4 linked regions of the Arabidopsis thaliana genome follow. The protein of the gene in region 4 purifies or fractionates together with the protein of the main gene of each other region. This does not show direct contact. Each region holds a gene or a part of one and is shown on either strand. Other genes may lie near its edges. The genes, in order: EIF2 GAMMA, AT4G18330, AT1G62870 and CKA3.

Evidence for each region.
Region 1: the proteins of CKA3 (region 4) and EIF2 GAMMA fractionate together in Arabidopsis thaliana (co-fractionation; one large-scale study listed by BioGRID). This does not show direct contact.
Region 2: the proteins of CKA3 (region 4) and AT4G18330 fractionate together in Arabidopsis thaliana (co-fractionation; one large-scale study listed by BioGRID). This does not show direct contact.
Region 3: the proteins of CKA3 (region 4) and AT1G62870 fractionate together in Arabidopsis thaliana (co-fractionation; one large-scale study listed by BioGRID). This does not show direct contact.

What each region holds. Positions count from the first base shown.
Region 1 is NC_003070.9:1,095,054-1,100,417, forward strand, and holds EIF2 GAMMA (eukaryotic translation initiation factor 2 gamma subunit), read left to right. Parts: upstream 1-1,828; 5' UTR 1,829-2,067; exon of another isoform or gene 2,068-2,233; intron 2,234-2,345; 5' UTR 2,346-2,369; coding exon 2,370-2,478; intron 2,479-2,565; coding exon 2,566-2,627; intron 2,628-2,746; coding exon 2,747-2,859; intron 2,860-2,945; coding exon 2,946-3,048; intron 3,049-3,325; coding exon 3,326-3,553; intron 3,554-3,664; coding exon 3,665-3,883; intron 3,884-3,983; coding exon 3,984-4,244; intron 4,245-4,346; coding exon 4,347-4,649; 3' UTR 4,650-4,848; downstream 4,849-5,364. Other genes in the region: XIB (myosin XI B), read left to right, coding at 54-124, 294-390, 465-521, 612-668, 751-914, 982-1,093.
Region 2 is NC_003075.7:10,124,848-10,129,248, forward strand, and holds AT4G18330 (Translation elongation factor EF1A/initiation factor IF2gamma family protein), read left to right. Parts: upstream 1-1,731; 5' UTR 1,732-1,816; intron 1,817-1,888; 5' UTR 1,889-1,899; coding exon 1,900-2,026; intron 2,027-2,115; coding exon 2,116-2,290; intron 2,291-2,367; coding exon 2,368-2,470; intron 2,471-2,553; coding exon 2,554-2,781; intron 2,782-2,874; coding exon 2,875-3,093; intron 3,094-3,176; coding exon 3,177-3,740; 3' UTR 3,741-3,887; downstream 3,888-4,401. Other genes in the region: AT4G18320 (uncharacterized protein), read left to right, coding at 169-1,131; AT4G18335 (uncharacterized protein), read left to right, coding at 4,022-4,401.
Region 3 is NC_003070.9:23,283,393-23,288,623, forward strand, and holds AT1G62870 (uncharacterized protein), read right to left. Parts: upstream 3,406-5,231; 5' UTR 3,117-3,405; coding exon 828-3,116; 3' UTR 520-827; downstream 1-519.
Region 4 is NC_003071.7:9,825,570-9,830,060, forward strand, and holds CKA3 (Protein kinase superfamily protein), read left to right. Parts: upstream 1-1,534; 5' UTR 1,535-1,658; coding exon 1,659-1,744; intron 1,745-1,989; coding exon 1,990-2,119; intron 2,120-2,200; coding exon 2,201-2,395; intron 2,396-2,483; coding exon 2,484-2,641; intron 2,642-2,794; coding exon 2,795-2,885; intron 2,886-3,017; coding exon 3,018-3,083; intron 3,084-3,172; coding exon 3,173-3,255; intron 3,256-3,373; coding exon 3,374-3,437; coding exon of another isoform or gene 3,438-3,488; exon of another isoform or gene 3,489-3,508; coding exon 3,509-3,577; intron 3,578-3,714; coding exon 3,715-3,774; 3' UTR 3,775-3,968; downstream 3,969-4,491. Other genes in the region: AT2G23070 (Protein kinase superfamily protein), read right to left, coding at 145-339, 459-588, 923-1,302; AT2G23090 (Uncharacterized protein family SERF), read right to left, coding at 4,088-4,207, 4,482-4,491. UniProt on the Arabidopsis thaliana protein: Casein kinases are operationally defined by their preferential utilization of acidic proteins such as caseins as substrates. The alpha chain contains the catalytic site. The tetrameric holoenzyme CK2 is composed of two alpha and two beta subunits.

The sequences.
Region 1 (5,364 bases), on a different chromosome or scaffold from region 4:
GACATTATTCTGTTTTCAAATCCTCAAATTCTCATATGTTTCATGGTGTACAGGTTCCTTTGGTACTCATCCAGAAGATACACACTCAAACTTTCTCGTTCGTCAATGTGCAACTATTTAACAGGTAAATAATACTTGAGAATTACATCTAATGGTTTCTACACACCTTATCATCGATACTCGTCAAAGTACAAACCTTCCTATGGTTGATATTTCTCAAATTCCTATGGAAGATATAAGCCAAGATCACTAGTGTTTTCTTACTTGGTTTTTTCCTTAACATCTTACAATAGCCTTCTACTGCGTAAAGAGTGTTGTACATTCAGCAATGGAGAATTTGTAAAGTCTGGGCTTGCAGAGCTAGAATTGTGGTGCGGCCAAGTCAATGAAGTAAGTTCCTACCTCACGTTTTCCTTCCGGAAAAAGTTTCTTTCGGCTCATTATATCATTCTTTGATTTTGCAGTATGCTGGGCCATCTTGGGATGAACTGAAACACATCAGACAAGCTGTTGGGTTCCTGGTATGTTTTACTCTTGTTTAATACTAACTTGTGGAACTCTTGTTTCTTGAATCTTCAAAAACGAATACTTCTCCTCTCGTAACTTATCAGGTTATCCACCAGAAGTACAGAGTATCATACGATGATATAGTACATGATCTTTGCCCGGTAAAGCTCCTTCTTAGTTTCTAGAAACACGTTTTTGCCTAGACTCCATACTTAATGGCTTTCTTGTTTCACTTTATTACAGATCCTTAGTGTCCAACAACTTTACCGGATATGCACATTATACTGGGACGACTGCTATAACACCCGAAGTGTGTCTCAAGAGGTAATATCGAGCATGCGTGCGCTCATGACAGAAGAATCCAACGATGCCGACAGCAATTCCTTCTTGTTGGATGATAATTCCAGGTAACTCGAATCATTTCTTAAAGATTAATATCAGTAGTAGAAACTAAAACCGGTTTATTGTTCGCAGCATTCCCTTCTCAATAGACGAGATTTCGAATTCGATGCACGAAAAAGACTTTGCGAGTGTCAAACCGGCCAAAGAGCTACTGGAAAACCCAGAATTCGTATTCTTGCACTAGTGAGAAGCTCGGATTCTAAAAAAGCTCTTCCTCTGTTTCTTTTTAGTCTGAGTGGGGGAGGGGTGCCTTCTTGAACCAAAAGGAAAGAAGATTACAAAAGTGTAAATTTTTACTTCTTGTGGGGTTGTTTCTTTCTTGCAAAACCTCTGTGATTTCTCTCTCACCAATTCATTCATTTATTTATTTGACCCCATTTCAAAGTTTTTTCTCCATTTTAGACCCAAGATTATTATCTGGTTTTTTTTTTTCACGGCTCAAGTTCTACACGATGAAGATCCTTTGTTGTTGTTGTACAGAATTAATCTACTTAATTTGTTATAAACTTGCCCCAACTCTTTTCAGTGATTTTTTTTTAAAAAATTTGGGACTCAATCAAACTCCATTACACCTGGTGATATTGGTTTAAAACCAACGTTTCTGACTTCAACAGCCGAGATTCAAAGACTTCAAAACCTTCCAAAAAAAAACAAATTCATAACTGGTTCGGAAAGATAAATTGACAAACCCGAGAGAGATAGAGGAACACGAACGCTTATAGTCGATCGCAAATAGGCCTTTCACTTGAGGTGTCTGTCTCAAGTTCGAATTCTAAAAGTTTTATGGTTTTTTTTGTTTAACTGTGTTTTATGTTGGGCCAAATTGTTTTTTGCTTTTAGGCATTAAATTTAGTCGGGCCGGCCCTGCACATAAAATTAATATGATGAAATGTTTTGGGTTTGATACTTTGATTCATAGAAAAAGTAAATTAGTCTCTACTGATAGTAATTTAATTAAATACTAGTATTTCATTATTTTGTAAGAAATTTTAGAAAGGGAAAAAAAAAAAAGGTTACGCGAAGGAAACCAAAAACCCTTTAGGGACTTGGATAGAAAAAAAAAAACCATTTTGTGCATCTTCTTCAAGCTGCGCCGCTTTCTCACTCTTTTTTATCTCTCAAATTTGACCTTCTCCGTTGTTCTTTCGCATCGCTCAGGTTCGTTTCGATCTCGAATTACATCTCCTACGGATTCAATATTTGTTCAACCTAATTGTTCCCATTTCTATCGCACGAAGATTAGTTCGGGGAATCTAATCGTAATCATAATGTTTTTTTAGATTGCGAATCGAAATTATTGTGATATTTAGGTAACGGAGCTCAGGTATAGAATCTGTGTGTCGACTTGATTAGGGCAGATGTAGAAAAACCTGAGAAGTAGTCTTTTTCAGATTAACTAGGGTTAGGGTTCTGATTTGATGCTCGGTTTTAAGCAGGAGCAGAAGCTTCAATCTTTGATAATGTCGAGGAACAAGGGTTTGGCTGAGCAAGATCTTAAAAAATTGGATGTAACTGTGCTACATCCTCTGTCTCCTGAGGTCATTTCTCGCCAGGCCACTATTAATATAGGTAACGCTTTTTTGAGTCTTTTATATAAGTTGATGTTGAAGAAACTGGCAGTTCCTATAAGCTAAAGATGATAGTGTTATGTTTCAGGAACCATTGGTCATGTCGCTCATGGAAAGTCCACTGTTGTTAAAGCTATTTCTGGTGTCCAGGTAAAATTTGATTATGCGGTTTTCACAATTGTAATCCTAGAGGCTTTTCTAGCTTGCAGCGTTTGATCAATTGGAGTGGGTGAAGTGATTTCTATGGTTTCCTTATCTTCTCTGTACAGACTGTCCGTTTTAAAAATGAATTGGAGCGTAACATTACCATTAAGCTTGGATATGCAAACGCCAAGATTTACAAATGTGAGGATGAGAAATGCCCTAGACCAATGTGCTACAAGTGAGTCCTTCTTACAACAGTGTTTTTATCTTCTACTTCTACTATAAGGTTTGAGTCAAGGTCTAACAACTTATCTGTTGTATTAGGGCCTACGGAAGTGGAAAGGAAGACACTCCCAATTGTGATGTCCCCGGATTTGAAAACTCCAAGATGAAACTATTGAGGCATGTCTCATTCGTTGATTGCCCGGTATGATGAGTTTTACCGTTATCTTTATTCTTCATTAATTACCATTTTCATTTGATAGTATAAGTGTATAACCATTTCATGTGTCAATGAGCTGTTCGTTTATTGTGTATTATCGATGTTGTTGTGCTCCACCTGCATGATTTTGGGTCTCTCATTTAATTGGGTGAAGGGCTTAAAGAGTGAGGGTTGATGGAGAAGTATTCATTGATGTTTCCATCTTTTGCTTTTCTTATCTCTACTTCATTCTTGTTGAATGTATTCTTGTTCTATTCTTCAGGGTCACGATATTCTCATGGCAACAATGCTTAATGGAGCAGCCATCATGGATGGTGCACTACTTTTAATCGCTGCAAATGAAACTTGTCCACAACCACAAACGTCTGAACATCTTGCTGCCGTTGAGATTATGCAACTTAAGCATATCATCATCCTTCAGAACAAGATTGATCTTATTCAAGAGAATGTTGCCATTAATCAGCACGAGGCAATTCAGAAATTTATAATGGTTAGGTTTTCTTATCTCTTAAGGATCTGTTGTAGCATTCTCATTTCGTCACTTGGTTAAGCTAAGTATTGAAGAACTTGGTTCTAAAATTTCTTTCACATCCTGTTGCAGAACACTGTTGCTGATGCTGCTCCGATCGTCCCTGTCTCAGCACAACTGAAATACAACATTGATGTGGTGTGCGAGTACATTGTCAAGAAGATCCCAATCCCTGAGAGGAATTTTGTGTCACCCCCAAATATGATAGTGATTCGGTCTTTTGATGTCAACAAACCTGGTTATGAGGTTGATGAGATCAAAGGTGGAGTTGCAGGTGGAAGTATCCTACGGGTATCTATTCTCTCTCTCTCCCTTTCTCTTGTTGTGCCTCTTAAGTACATCAAGCTTTATATGGTGTAATCAGTATCTCTTAACTACATGTATATTGTAGGGTGTTTTGAGAGTCAACCAATTAATCGAAATCCGACCTGGTATCGTTACCAAAGACGAGCGTGGCAACTCAAAATGCACTCCAATTTACTCTCGCATCATTTCACTCTACGCGGAACAGAACGAGCTTCAGTTTGCTGTTCCTGGAGGTCTAATAGGAGTTGGAACAACAATGGACCCAACTCTCACTCGTGCAGATCGATTAGTTGGTCAAGTCCTTGGTGAAATCGGTTCACTTCCTGATGTATTTGTTGAACTCGAGGTATAAACAACTCCTCACAACCATACTCTTCAGTCTTTATGGTCCTAATGGGTCTCTTAGTGTATTTTCTCCTTTTAATTTGTGGTTATGTAAAATCTGTAGGTGAACTTCTTTCTTCTACGACGTTTGTTGGGAGTGAGAACAAAGGGATCAGAGAAACAAGGGAAAGTGTCAAAGCTAACGAAAGGAGAGATTCTGATGCTCAACATTGGTTCGATGTCCACTGGAGCCAAAGTTGTAGGAGTTAAAGTCGATCTGGCTAAACTGCAACTGACTGCGCCTGTTTGTACCAGCAAAGGAGAGAAAGTGGCTCTAAGCAGACGTGTGGAAAAGCATTGGCGTTTGATTGGTTGGGGTCAGATTCAAGCTGGAACCACCATCGAAGTTCCTCCTTCACCTTTCTAAGCTATGTGTTATTTTTGTCCTTTTTGTTTGTGTTTCTGAAAAAAAGATTGTTAAACCCCTCAAAAAGATAATAAAACTCTTTTTCTCGTTGGGGGATTTTGGAGAGTTCGTCTTTGCGGATTAAACATCTTCAAACAGTACCTGATTTGTTATTGTTACTAGTTTGCTCTTTGTTATTGTTACTAGTTTGCTCTTTGTTTGTGTTTTTCTCTTAGATATTACTAAATTTTGTTGTCTCTCTTTTTTTTTTTGAAATTTTTGTCAGAGATACTCTGCTACTTGACTATACATACTTTCTTCAGAAAAGGAACAACTTCATTACTCATTAGGATCCGATCAAGTACGACTTTTTATAATAAATACGACTTTTTAGTCAAAATGTTCATGTCTTCTCTCTAAAGAACGTTATTTGTTTGCGATTTGAATTGAGTGTCTTGCCTTCCACTGTGTATATCCGTGCGAAAACTTATGTTACATAGACGGGACTGCAGAGGCAGCAAGTCTCCATTCGGCTCATCTGGAACTGTCTCAACAACACTTGCATTTGTGGTTCGCCTTCCCATTGAAATGAGAAGAATCGCTGACTGTGTTCCAAAGTGATGGGTTAACATGCCAACCTTTCATGCAGGGAAACAAGTTTAGTTACCTAGACTCCCGCAACAAATACTTGCACAAATTGAAACTCTGGAAGAAGATAAACCCGAATGGTACTTTC
Region 2 (4,401 bases), on a different chromosome or scaffold from region 4:
CTTCCATTTTTTCGTAACTCATATATATAGCTTCTGCCTTCTGCTATCAGATTTCATTTCTCTCAAAATTATTTTTCTTGGTTTCATCTCATTTTTTGGAGGGATTTTTGAGAACATCTTTAAAAAAAAAATAATCTTCCAGTTCTTATTTGTTAATTCTTATAGTTTATGCTCTCATCTCACTTCTCTCAAATTTGTTTCTCTCGCAGGGATTCATGGGGAAGTTTGCCTCAAGATCTCCTCAGAAGTTCTACAAATTTGCTTAACCCTAACTTTACCGAAGGTGGGGCACTAAGAGGTGTCAACACTCATTGGAGGAACACATTTCTTTCTTTCCGTGAAGGAGGTTTCGTAGAGGAAAGGCCGTGGTTGTTGTACCGTGAAAGGGGATCCCGAGTTGCCCATTTCTATGACCCTGTGAGAGAGGAGCTACATCATGGGAAAGACCCATATCTTGAAGGGGCCAAATTCTTAGGATCAACATTGGGTTGGGTTGTTATGTCCAACTCCAGTGCCATACACCGACGTCAAGACCACCAAGCTTTCTTATACAACCCGTTCACTTCACAACGGTACCAACTACCCCTTCTCACCACTGATAACCCATGTGTGATCCGTTACGGTGTGCTCACCGGAGATCCCCGTCAAGACAACACTTATGCTTGTCTCCTAGCCGATAGCTTTCACGAAAATAATCATATGGTGATAGCGCATATGCATGCTCCTAGTCGACAAATATATTATGTAGCCAAGAGTAACGGAGACTGGGATCAGAACTGGTCAGTGACTCGTATCCCTACCTTCAACCATCCAATTTGTGGTTCGACTATAGATTCCCTCTCCCCATCTGTGGACAAAATATCAATTATTTTATGGGGCCATACTCTTGACTTCACCTTCCGAACCCAAAATTGGAATGTCTCAAATACTCAAGAGAATGATACCATCGAATGGAATCCTTTCCACGGCCAATCTTTTGATCAGATCAAACATCGACTTCAGATATTTCCACAAACTCTAGACATTATCGGCACTAAAACTGATCGCGAGAGAGTGAAAAACCGCACTTGGGGTGCTAACAACCAAATCGTTTCTTACACTGACGGAGTTTGGGTTGAGGTTCGCGCTTAGCCTAATGTTCTACCACTTGACTCTTTAAGTTATTTCTCTGTGATTGTTTTCGTTATCTATCTTTTATTTGTGTGGTTTAAGATTTTTAGTATTAATTTCTATTTATTGTGTTGCAAACTCTACTCATTGTGGTTTCGTTAGAAACTCTACTTTGGTTTGTTTATAAAAATGCTGATCTTTTATTGTTTATTTTTACGTTAAACTTAATAGACAAACAAAGAACTCTTAATTCGGTGTACATCTCTTCGTTAATATATGTAAAACATATTTTTTTTAAAAAAATTGTTTAGCAAAGAGTAAAATGAAAAATTCTACAAAAGATGTTCTCTTATTTGGCTCCTCTACAAAAAAAACTCAACTCCGATTACAAATTCGAGTTTAAATTTACAGGTTTTCAATATTGGGCCGTATTGGGTGCTAATGGTTTTACTAATAATAAGAATGGGCCTAGTTAATCATAAGGCAATGAAAAAAAGGTTTACAAAACCCTACATTTTTTACCTTCCACGTGTAAACTTCTTCCCCAATCTTACAAATCTTTAACTGTCATCGAGCGAGCTCAACATTTTTCGGACAACAAAGTGTAAGAGACTGATTAAACAAAATCGAGACTTTATAGTACTCAGGTTTGTCGGAATCGACTGAGTATCGAAATTATTGTGGTGTTTTGTGAACAGAAACCAAGGTATGCATGAAATCGTTTTGTATATAAACCCTAATATCGATTTCAGAATTTTCATTGATCTCGTTGTTTTAGCAGGATTAAAGATGGTTCAATCTGTGTTAATTTCGCGTAACAAGGGTTTGGCGGAGCAAGATCTAACTAAGCTTGATGTAACAAAGTTACATCCTCTGTTTCCTGAAGTCATTTCTCGCCAAGCAACCATAAATATCGGTAAATTACACTCTGCTTTTGCCAGCTCCTCTAGGTCTATAGTATAACTTGATGTCAAAGAAACCAATACTGTGCTAAATATATCTCAGGAACCATTGGTCATGTCGCTCACGGTAAATCGACTATAGTGAAAGCTATCTCTGGTGTTCAGACTGTGCGTTTTAAGAATGAATTAGAGCGTAACATTACCATTAAGCTTGGTTATGCAAATGCAAAGATTTACAAGTGTGAGGATGACAAGTGCCCTAGACCAATGTGCTACAAGTGAGTCATAATCTTCTTTTTGATATAATAAGGCTAAGTGTTATTATGTGTAGCAGCAGCTAATCTGTTAATTTTAGGTCATATGGGAGTGGAAAAGAAGACAACCCAACTTGTGATGTCCCCGGATTTGAGAATTGCAAGATGACACTACGGAGACATGTCTCATGTGTCGATTGTCCGGTATTAATGAGTTTAATTTACACTTTGTCTCTCAAAACTAGAACCATTGGCTATATGTAACTGAGTTGTTTTTTATTCATCAGGGACATGATATTCTTATGGCGACAATGCTCAATGGAGCAGCAATCGTGGATGGTGCTTTACTTCTAATTGCTGCTAACGAGAGTTGTCCACAACCACAAACCGCTGAACATCTTGCTTCTGTTGATATGATGCGCCTTAAGCATATCATAATCCTTCAGAACAAGATTGATCTCATTAATGAGAAAGCCGCCACTGAACAGCACGAGGCTATTCAGAAATTTATAACGGTTTGATCAATTTTCTTATCTCTCTGTTGTTAAATCTTTCATGACTTCATCAGTTTGGTTCTCATATTTTCTGTCACATATATAATGTTGCAGAACACGAATGCTGAGGATGCACCTATAGTTCCTGTCTCAGCACAACTGAAATACAACATTGATGTTGTGAGTGAATACATTGTCAAGAAGATTCCAATCCCTGTGAGAGACTTTGTGTCACCACCAAAGATGATTGTGATTCGTTCTTTCGATGTCAATAAACCTGGCTCGGCGGGTCATGAAATGAAAGGTGGTGTTGCTGGTGGAAGTATCCTCCAGGTATGTTTTTATCTCTCTGTTTCTCCTCTGTTCTTACCTGACTGTGAAACAATTTAGTATTAATATGTGTCTCTCTTTGTTTGGGTGTTTTGAAAGTGAACCAACTGATTGAAATTAGACCTGGTATCACTGGCAAAGATGAGCATGGAAACTCAAAATGCACTCCAATTTACTCGCGTATAACTTCACTATACGCGGAACAGAACGAGCTTCAGTTTGCTGTACCGGGAGGTCTAATCGGAGTTGGAACAACCATGGACCCTACGCTTACGCGTGCTGATAGGTTGGTTGGTCAAGTCCTTGGTGAAATGGGTACTCTCCCTGACGTCTTTGTTGAGCTTGAAGTAAGTTACCAGCTTCTGACTCGTCTCATTGGAGTGAGGACAAAGGAAAAAGAGAAGCAAATGAAAGTGTCAAAGCTAACCAAAGAAGAGATATTGATGGTGAACATCGGGTCTATGTCTACGGGAGCTAAGGTTATTGGAGTCAAGAAAGATATGGTGAAACTCCAACTGACGTCTCCGGTGTGTACCACCATAGGAGAGAAGGTTGCTTTAAGCCGACGTGTCGATAGGCATTGGCGTCTAATTGGTAAGGGTCAGATTATGGCTGGAACCACCATCGATGTTCCTCCTCCTCCTTTCTAATGAAGTAGTGATGAGTTTTTTATATTGTTTGCATTCAAAAATAATTAACATGTGCCTTTGTATGTTTAATCACTTTCTTTCGACTACAATATAAAACTATATTCATATTTAACACAACATTGACGAAAATTTAAAAAACAAATTCATAATTTCATTAATGATATTACTTATCACTAATTAGGAATTATATAATTCTAATTCCCTCCTCGTTCTGAGCTTTTGTTTCATCTTTACGCTCTCTCTTACTCTCAGCCAAAACCCTATACTCTCTTTCAATCCCAATGGAAGATTTGGTTTTGATGAAACAGAGTCTTCTAAAAAGCTTCATCGTCTCTCTTATTCTCACTCTCGTCTTCCTCATCTCACCATCATCATCATCTTCGAATCAAGAAACAAGAGTATCATCAACACAAAAAACGGAAGCTTATCTCAACGGTTACGAATCACCGCACCAACTCGTCTACATCAAGAAAACGACACCGTTTATCTTGAACCAGCGGTTGCAACGAGACAACCACCGTCGTCGTCGTTACAATCACCAATACTACTACTACTATCGACATACTCTTCGTCATCGCCGTGGTCTTCATCATCGTGCTGGCTACTTCAAGATGATGGCCAAGAAGAATAACGGTTTAAACCGTCCGGTTCGACAGGATAC
Region 3 (5,231 bases), on a different chromosome or scaffold from region 4:
TTTGCTTTCCTAGTGGGGGATCCACATTTTTTGAGAAAAGATTTTAAAGAAACTACTCGATAGATTGATAAGTTAGATAGATAGATAATCGTAATCATAGTTGAAGTGAACCCGAAAACCCGGTTCAGTTCTTAGGTGACAAAAAGGTCTACATCTTTCGTCGTCGACATCAATAGAGACTAACATGTTATGATGAAGCAAGAACGTGAAAAATGTTCAAAAATAAAATGTTTTATTAAGTCAATTTCTTGAAATGGAAAAGACATTGTTTTGAGTCATGATTAAGAATATTAACGTTAATGAAAAAAGAACAAAAGAACAACAGAACAAAAGAGATCATTACAATGTACAATACAGAAGATGAATGAAGCTGTCGTTGAATCTTCTGTTGATGCCATTAATGTTCTTAACTACAACCTTGGACCTTTTGAACCAATAGATTGATGATGATCACGACGAGAGGTCGATTCACATTAGATTTCATTGCTACGCAAACCAAATGTGTGCAGAAACATGAAACTTCTAATGGTAATATGATATAGACAAGAACTTTACAAGAGTCGCTTGTATGCAAGAATTTCAAAATCAGTCTCAAGATCATTGCTTAAGTTCGAAAAAAGACACGGAAAAATTGCCTAAAATTATGATCAAAATAGACTAAAAGAAATACAATGATATGGCTCTCTTTCTCACCTCCTAAAGGAGCCAAGTACAAATTGAATTAAGGGTAGTAAAAAAAAAAGTTAACAACAAAAAAAATGAATTCAAGCAATCCTACAAAATGGCCAAGTTCTAGTGAAAAACTAAATTTGGTAAAAATTAACAAGTCACACTGAGGATGTATCGATGAGAACATCGTTTAGCACATCATCTTCGCCATTCGCCATAGCGAGCAGCTCCGCATCTCTCTCTTCCTCGTTGGAGAAGTCTCTCCTTTCGAATTTCGAGTTAGCGGATATAAAGATCAACTTTTGAGCTCGATCCACGGCTGCGCGTGATCTTCCATTCGAATTTACCCATCTCAAAACAGAGGAATTGCATTTGAAACCACAAGAAGTTGCATGGAGAAAAATAAGCCTAACTGCAACTCTCCCCAATGACCTGAACTCACTAAGATAAGTTTCCCAAACAAGTCTACTACTTTGTGGATTAGCTATCCTCATTTTCCCCGAAACAGGATCTCTCTCCTTCATTTGAACCGCCCTTGCGTAAACCGGATCAAGCCCTTCTGTTCTCCATTTCATCAGCTCCATCATCGCGATATGTGCCTCGTCTCTAGACACAAGCCTTGTTATTAACTTATCAACATCTTTCTCTTGCTCCGGGGACAAGCATTTGAATGGAGGAAGATATTTTCCGCTACTGTCTTTTATCAAGTAAAGCGGATCAAGTATAAACGCCGCAGCCCAAGCTGGGTGATAACTCTTCTTGAATCTTCTCTCAACGATCTTCTCTACTTGCCTCTCTTCAACAACATTGAACTTTGCATACCAATCTTTTATCTTGGACCTTAGCTCATCCCATAGCGGTAAACATTGCCCTACCAAAGGCCTCTCTTCCTCTATTCTCCGAGCCATTTCTTTAACAAGCTTCAACAACAAATAAACCGCCTCTACCTCGTTCCAAAACCCGACATCTCCAACCATTTCACCAACCTCTCTAGCCATATGATCCTCCATTAGAACAGCCTTACACACATCATCATGCATCACCAGCTGAATCGCTCTAGCGAAACTAAGCACATCCTCAAGGAGATTATACAATGGCTCAAACAAAGAACTATCCAAAGGCAAATGCAGCATCCTAGTCTCTCCTTGCTCTTGCAACTGATACTTACAAACCGCGTTTCGGATCTGTGCCGTGCTGTTCACGAAATTAACGAGCCTCGAGCAGCTTTGAGAGACGGATTTAAACAAAGGAAGCTCTTTTACAAAATCTCGAATCAAACTGTTGAAACCTTGAAACTGACAAGAGAGATTCACCATCCATTGATGCTGGCTCTCAAGATTCCTCAATGCCTTACTCATAAACCTATCTGAAACAATCCCAACACACCTCTGAGGTGAATTACCACAAATACCCCTCACCGTCTCCCACAAAACCTCCTCTGCGTAATTAGACGGCACAGCTCCGTTCACAAACACAGCTCGTCTATACAAACTCGTCCCATTAGGCAAATTCACAATCAAATTCACCAAATTCTCGCCGGAGCTGTCGAATTTCCATCCATCAGAAGCAATCTGAAAGAACATTGCGTCGTGGATTCTCGATTCAGCCTCTGCTCTCGAATCTTCATACTTCAAATCCAATCTTCCGGTGACAAAATCTCTCCTTGAGATGATCGGTAAACCAACTTGCGTCAAAAAAGCTCTCAACTTTGGATGCTCGAGACCAGATAAAGAAACAGAGCCACAAGATTCAAAAACCCAATCAGAGAGAGAATCTAACGCAGAATCTATCTGAGCTTTAGTTAGATTCCGCGTCTGAGAAGTTTTAGGACTCTTGAGCTTCTTCACACTATCTTCAAGCATAGCTAATGGACCCAAATCGTCTTTTCCACCGGAAAGCATCAAATGCGGCTGCTGTGTAACCGGAAACTGCCCACAGAATCTCGAGGGATCAACGACACTAAGAGGCGTCACATTATAAGACCCTTGATGATGATGATGAGGATGATGATGATGATGATTCAGAGCTTCCACGGCGGAGGAATTACGTTTCCGGTGAGAAGAAGACGGAGGAGGAGGAGGAGAAGGAGAGATTGTGGAGATGGGTTTAGGTAAAGAGTTGAAATTTGGACAAGTTCCACGTTTAAGATGCTCAGAAGCAGTTCGGGAAGGATTAGAAGCTGAGAAAACGGCGTCGCATAAAGAACATCGGAGTTTAACGGCTTTAGGGAAACCAGTGTCGGTGTTGTGTAGTAAGATTGGTTCAAGGTGACTCCAATACCACGCGCCTTTGCCTTTAACTGCTTTTGTTCTTACCATCATTAATCCTTCGTAACGCTTTTGTAACGCCTTTGTCGCTAATTCTTCCGCCGACGGTTGTTGCGTTGGTGATTGCGTTTGCGTTTGCTGTTGTGTCGCCGTTGTTGTTGCGTTTGTCGTCGTCGCCATTGTAAAGTCAAAAAACTTAAACAACAACCCTGAACGAAATTAAGCTGAGACTAGTGGATTTTGATGAAATTGAAGAGAAAATTTCGCCGGCGGTCGGAGATAACTCCGGCGGTTCCTCATAACAGAGAACAGAAATAGAAATAAATAAACTTTGTCTCTGTTTTTGCTTCACCTCTGAAAAAAAAAAAAAACTTTGTTCCTCTCTGCTCTGCTATCACACTGATAGTTTCTTTCGATTCTATTTTTTAAGAGACTGAGAAATTTCAAAAAGGAGAAGAAGAAGAAAGAAAGAGACAGTAGAGAGAGACAGAGAGAGGAAGGAGAAGAAAATAAGGGAGACAAAAGTGAATCTCACGCGCATAAGGTAAGCGCGTGTTTGTAACATTGAATGAAACGTTTGATAGGAACAAGGTGAGACCAGAGTCCCACGTCGTACGAGAACGGAAACAAAGCATTGGTTGTTTTAGTCTCTCACTTCACTCTCATTGGCACGTGATTCTCACGCTCTCCATAAAGGTATTTTTAATACTATATATTATTGGTTTTATACCTTTTTAATAAAAATAAATATCACTTTTTCAGTTTTTTTTAAAAAAATATTTTTGGATGTGTCTTGTTTTCATATTTTTCTGTTTTTTTTGAGTGAATTGTTGGGTTCTTGTGTGGAAGAGGTCTTCGTCTGTTTCCTCTTTTTCTAATTTATATGATTATAAAATATTGATCTACTATTGTATAGTATCAACTATTCCACGTAATCAAATTTGGTATATGATTCGTGTTATGAACTAACCCACCAATATAAATACTATTAACAGGGTAAATCATTCAATGACATAAGCAAAGCAGCTCACAAATTTAGTACTAAATCATTAAATGATTCTTTTAAAAGTAGATAATTGTGTGAAAGTGTTAGTAAATGAGTGAGTGAAAGACATGTTTTTTATTAATTTAATGTTTTTACTTTTTTTTTGGGTATAATTATGATTGTAAAAGAAGGAAAAATACAAAAAAATGATGAGTGGGGTTTCCATTTGTGTCTTGTTGTCTATGTGGGATATATTCAGAATGTGGGCATAAAAGGGCAACCTAGGAATTTAATTTGTTTCTTTAGGGACTGTGTCTCTCTGTGTGTGTGAGAGAGAGTTGTTGACCAAAAGGACATTCTTTAGTAAATACTTATTTATTATTTTCAGAATCCAGTAAAAAATATATTTATTGACTGTGACAAAAAAAATATTTTTGAATATAATTGGTTCAGTAATAAAGACATTTACTCACCATTACAATTTGTTTCTACTTGAAGTAGTATAATGCATGTTACATAGTATAATAGAAACTCTACTTTCATTTTTTTTGAAAAAACTATTAACTGGAAAATAAACTATTTTTTCTCAAGAAAAATTATAATTTTTTTTTGAAAGTTTACTACGAGTAATATTATTGCTAGTATTTTATTCCTGATAAAAAAAAATTCAATACAAAAATCAATATGTTTCAAACCACTATTATCATATTTCTTGTAAGAATGAAAACAAAATTTCCTGATTGTCATCCTGAGTTTTTGTATCAGTGACAAATAGTGACAATTTTTGTAATTTTTAGAATTCGTGAACATTTTTTTCTTTAATATAATTGACAAATGTTGTTGACAACAAAAATGGATAAATATAACATAATAAACCAACGTTTTTTTCCGTAATGTTTGTTTTGGACACTACATATGTTTAATCTGAGTTGTTTAATCTATTAGCATTATGGAATTGCATTGTTTGTCGTAGATGTGTTATTTTGATATTTTAGTAAATTCTCTTTAAATTTCTTACTTTTTCTACTGAAATAGTTGACTTTTACCCTATCCCTTTTTTACAACGACATATACTCTCTTTTCTTAACTGTCTTGTGTGGTATTCATGAGTCTTATGGTTGTTACAACACTCATCTCATGTTTTTCTTTAGTTGTTCTTTTTACTTATACCATTTTTTGTTAAGTTATTTACTTAGATTACCTATTTACTCTACAAATTATACAATATATAGTTATGATACATTACTTATCATAAAGTAGCTGTGGAATTTAGAAAATAATTATGCAAATTACGTAATTGATACTCCATT
Region 4 (4,491 bases):
GAAGGCTAGTGGATTCAAAAGTCAAGTAAGGTAAACAACAGTGTATGACGCTATACATCTATGATATATCTACCGATTACTTTTGCCAATTGCCAAAGCCGCAAAGAAAATCATGGTCTACAATTCAGGAAACTGAATAATTACCTTTAGAAGTTCAAAAATGTAATATCGAACATCATAGTCTGAGAGAGTTGGATAGAGAACTTTGAAATCTTTATTGTTCACATGTTCAAATATCAAGCTGGGCGTCTTAGACTGCTGATCTCTAACAATGTCGAGCAATTTTACAATATTAGGCCCACCGCAGAGGTTCTGCAGAATCTTAATCTCTCTCTTAATCTGCGTCAAGGAGAAGCAAAATATGTTAGAGAATAATTCAAACCAAGTGAAGGGCCAGAAACACACTTCATTCTGAGCACAATTGAGATAAAAACAAGCAAGCGGCTGTATCTACTCACCTTCTTCTTCTTCACAGGCTTCAAAATCTTGATAACACATTTCTCGTTATCAGTAGCATGAATGCCTTCAAAGACCTCACTGTATTTTCCCCTTCCTACCTTCCTCACCACCTCATAATCATCCTGTACACTGCGGCATCAATGAAGCTAACTCAAACACTAATACACCAAACAGTAACAACACCATACAAACTCAAGATATCAATTCAACAATCTAGTTCACATAGACCAGCAATTTTCAAGAGATTATATACAAACAAAACAGATACCAATACAAACAAATCAGATACCAATTCTGCATTACTTACGAGATTATATCATCAATCAAAAATATGAAACGAAACCCTAAATCTACATTCCACATTGATTCCAGAACAACCAATCCCAAACCAATCTATAACCAAAGGCAAACATCTAGAAATCGACGTAATTAGGTTTAATTAGAGAAGAATCTGAAGATATACCCCCATTGAACAGCAAGGGACTCGTAATCCCAATAGTCCTTAGGTCTAACAACGTTGACATCAGCGTAAACCCTAGCTTTCGACGGCGCACCGGCACGCCGGATAGATTTACCGATCTTCTGAGCCAGCGTTTCTGATTTTTCTTTCACGCGCGATTGCTGTTGTTGCTGATGTTGTTGTTGTTGATTCCGGAGATGTTGACGGTAAAGAGAAGCGCTGGATGCGAAACGACGGAGATTGTCCTGGAGCGAAGAGAGAAGAAGATTCCTCTTCGCCGGAGACGACGAAGAGAAGGAGAGGAGAGAGAAGAGATTGTTGTTGGCGGCGGAAGCGTTGCGAAGAGAGGAGATTGTGAATCCAGTACAAGGCCTTAAGGCCATTAATGTCTTTTTTTAACTCTTATTCAGAAAATGAAAAGTGAAGGTAACGAATTTGCTTTATTTCTCTCCTTTCTTTTTCTTTGGCTTCTCTTCGAAACGATGTCGTTTAAACAATTCGGTCCGGTTATAGTGTGATTGAAATCGATCCGATTGGGTTTGTTTCGGTTCGAGTGTGGTTGAATCGGTTCGATTTGGTTTAGGTGGTTTTTGGGTATCAGAGATTCTTCTTCAACCTTTTTCTAATCCTGCACAACGCACTTCTTCTGTTGTCATCATCATCGTCCACTTGAAACAAACCTGACGATCAAAGAGAAGATTGCGATCGCAAATTTCTCCATTTTTTCAGATCGAAATTGATGTCGAAAGCTAGGGTTTATACAGATGTTAACGTTGTTCGTCCTAAAGAGTATTGGGACTACGAGTCTCTCGTTGTTCAATGGGGGTAAAACTTCTAGCTTTAGAATTTTTCTTTGATGAATTTACGATTTTTGACTTCTTTTTGATAAATTTTCGGTGGAATTTGATTGATTTGTTGCCAAATCGAATTCGAAATCAGAGAAATTGGAATTTTTTAGGGTTTGGACTTAGGTCTCTTGAAGACACTTTGTTTTAAGTATCTATTAGCAAATATTGGATTTTGAAATTCAACAGTGTGAGATTCTTAAATACTTTTGTGTGATTCTTCAGTCATCAAGATGATTATGAGGTTGTGAGAAAAGTTGGTAGAGGAAAATACAGTGAAGTTTTCGAAGGCAAAAACGTCAATACGAATGAGCGTTGCGTTATCAAGATCCTCAAACCCGTAAAAAAGAAGAAGGTGATCAGTTAGTAGAACTCATTTCTGATGAATTTGCATACATAAAGATGGCTAATTTTGCTGAAACTTGATGTTATGCAGATAAAGAGAGAGATCAAAATACTTCAGAACCTATGTGGTGGACCAAATATTGTTAAGCTGTATGATATTGTTAGAGATGAGCACTCCAAAACACCTAGCTTGGTATTTGAGTTTGTCAACAGTGTGGACTTTAAAGTATTGTATCCAACATTGACTGATTACGATATCCGGTACTATATTTATGAGCTTCTGAAGGTAATGTATCGGTATTTACCATAAATGACTTTTACCGTACATACAAATGTTTATCGTGGAATCCAGAGCTGATGTTATTGCATTTCAGGCATTGGATTTCTGTCACTCTCAAGGAATAATGCATAGGGATGTTAAGCCTCATAATGTCATGATAGATCATCAGCTGCGTAAACTTCGTCTGATAGATTGGGGCCTTGCTGAGTTTTACCATCCCGGAAAAGAGTATAATGTTCGCGTGGCCTCGAGGTAATATCCGATACCACAGCTTAATTCCACCTGTCTTGGCAAGCCTAAGAGGGTCATTCGTAGATGCCAATGATTGAAACTTTTAGCTGTGCAATCAAAGCTTCTTGTAGTTGTTAAATGCATTAGACTAAAAACCTGTGAATTAATTGCCAGATACTTCAAGGGTCCCGAGCTTTTAGTTGATCTACAGGATTATGACTATTCTTTAGACATGTGGAGTCTTGGTTGCATGTTTGCTGGCATGGTGAGAACTAATAATCCCCTCACTCTTCTCTCTAGCTTCAATGCTGAAGCTATTGCAAGCATTTGAATTTCCGAATGGTAGTCGTTAATACTTTGCTGTTGCTTATTCACTTGTCAAATATTGATGCTGCAGATATTCCGTAAGGAACCGTTCTTTTATGGCCATGATAATCATGATCAACTTGTCAAAATTGCCAAGGTATATTGCTAGTCTATGACTTATTGGCATAAAATTACATTGTAAACTTAAATCCATGTATATGATTTCTGATTGAAACGTGTGCATAGGTGTTGGGAACCAATGAGTTAGATCATTACCTAAACAAATATCAGCTAGATCTTGACCCTCAACTGGAAGCACTTGTTGGAAGGTTTTATTCCATCCCTGAATCTCTCTGTCTTTAAAAGTCAAAATTGTTGCTGTTCTCAACTCTGGCTCAGTTAATTTTATACCAATGAGTTAAAACCTGAAGTCACTCTTATTTGTAGACATGTCCCCAAACCATGGTCCAAGTTTATCAACGCGGACAACCAACATTTGGTCTCACCTGAGGTACTACTCTTTTTCGAAAAACATAGTTTTGCTTCGTTCTGGGTGTATTGACTCATTGTATACATCTTTAGGCAATTGATTTTCTCGATAAGCTTCTTCAGTATGATCATCAAGACAGATTAACCGCAAGAGAAGCCATGGTAAAAATCCTCTTCATGTGCACACATCTTTTGATTTTGTTTTACCCGATGATCTTCATGTGCACACATCTTTTGATTTTGTTTTACCCGATGATCAAGTCAAACTTATAATCTCTGGTTTCTCTATTGATCTATAGGATCATCCATACTTCGCTCAAGTTAAAGCCGCAGAGAGCAGCAGACTACGAACTCAGTAAAACCGAAGCTTGATTGATGATGCTTACTACTATTTTTCAACCAAAAACTTTGTAATGATTTTGTTGTATCAAAATTGTGGTAATCTTTACTTTCATAGAAACATAATCAACAGCGAAAAGAAGCCAACTTATATTAAAAAAAAAGGTTCCACACAAAGCTTCATTATATAATCATAGCAAGAGACTTATTGTTGAAACAAGTAGAGAGAAATAGAAACCATAAAATTTGTCGAGACTTTGATACAAACATAGGAAAGATGAGGATCCATACGTTATACATTGGAATCCTTTATAGTTGAGATAATAGCTTTCATCACTTCTTGAGGTGAGGGAAACAAGCGACAACATCGGCTTTCGGATGCTTCGCCTCCGCGTGCTCCCTGCATTTCACTTCCGATGTCGTGCAGATGAATGTTTGCATACAAACCTTGCACTATATAAACACACACATCAACAAATAACAAGTTAATATAACACAAAGCTTCAGGATCAACAAGAAATAACAAGTTCATTAACACAAAGCTTCAGGATCAACAAGAAATTGTGCATCAACATGAGACAATTAAACTTACGTTTCATGACTACATAAACAATTCCAAAGGACTAATAATAATTGGATTCTTATTAAGAAAAGCTGATTCTAGTAACCAATAATTGTAATATTTCGATGATTTCGAAGACGATGATATAAAGTAATAAGTGATCACCTGAATCGAC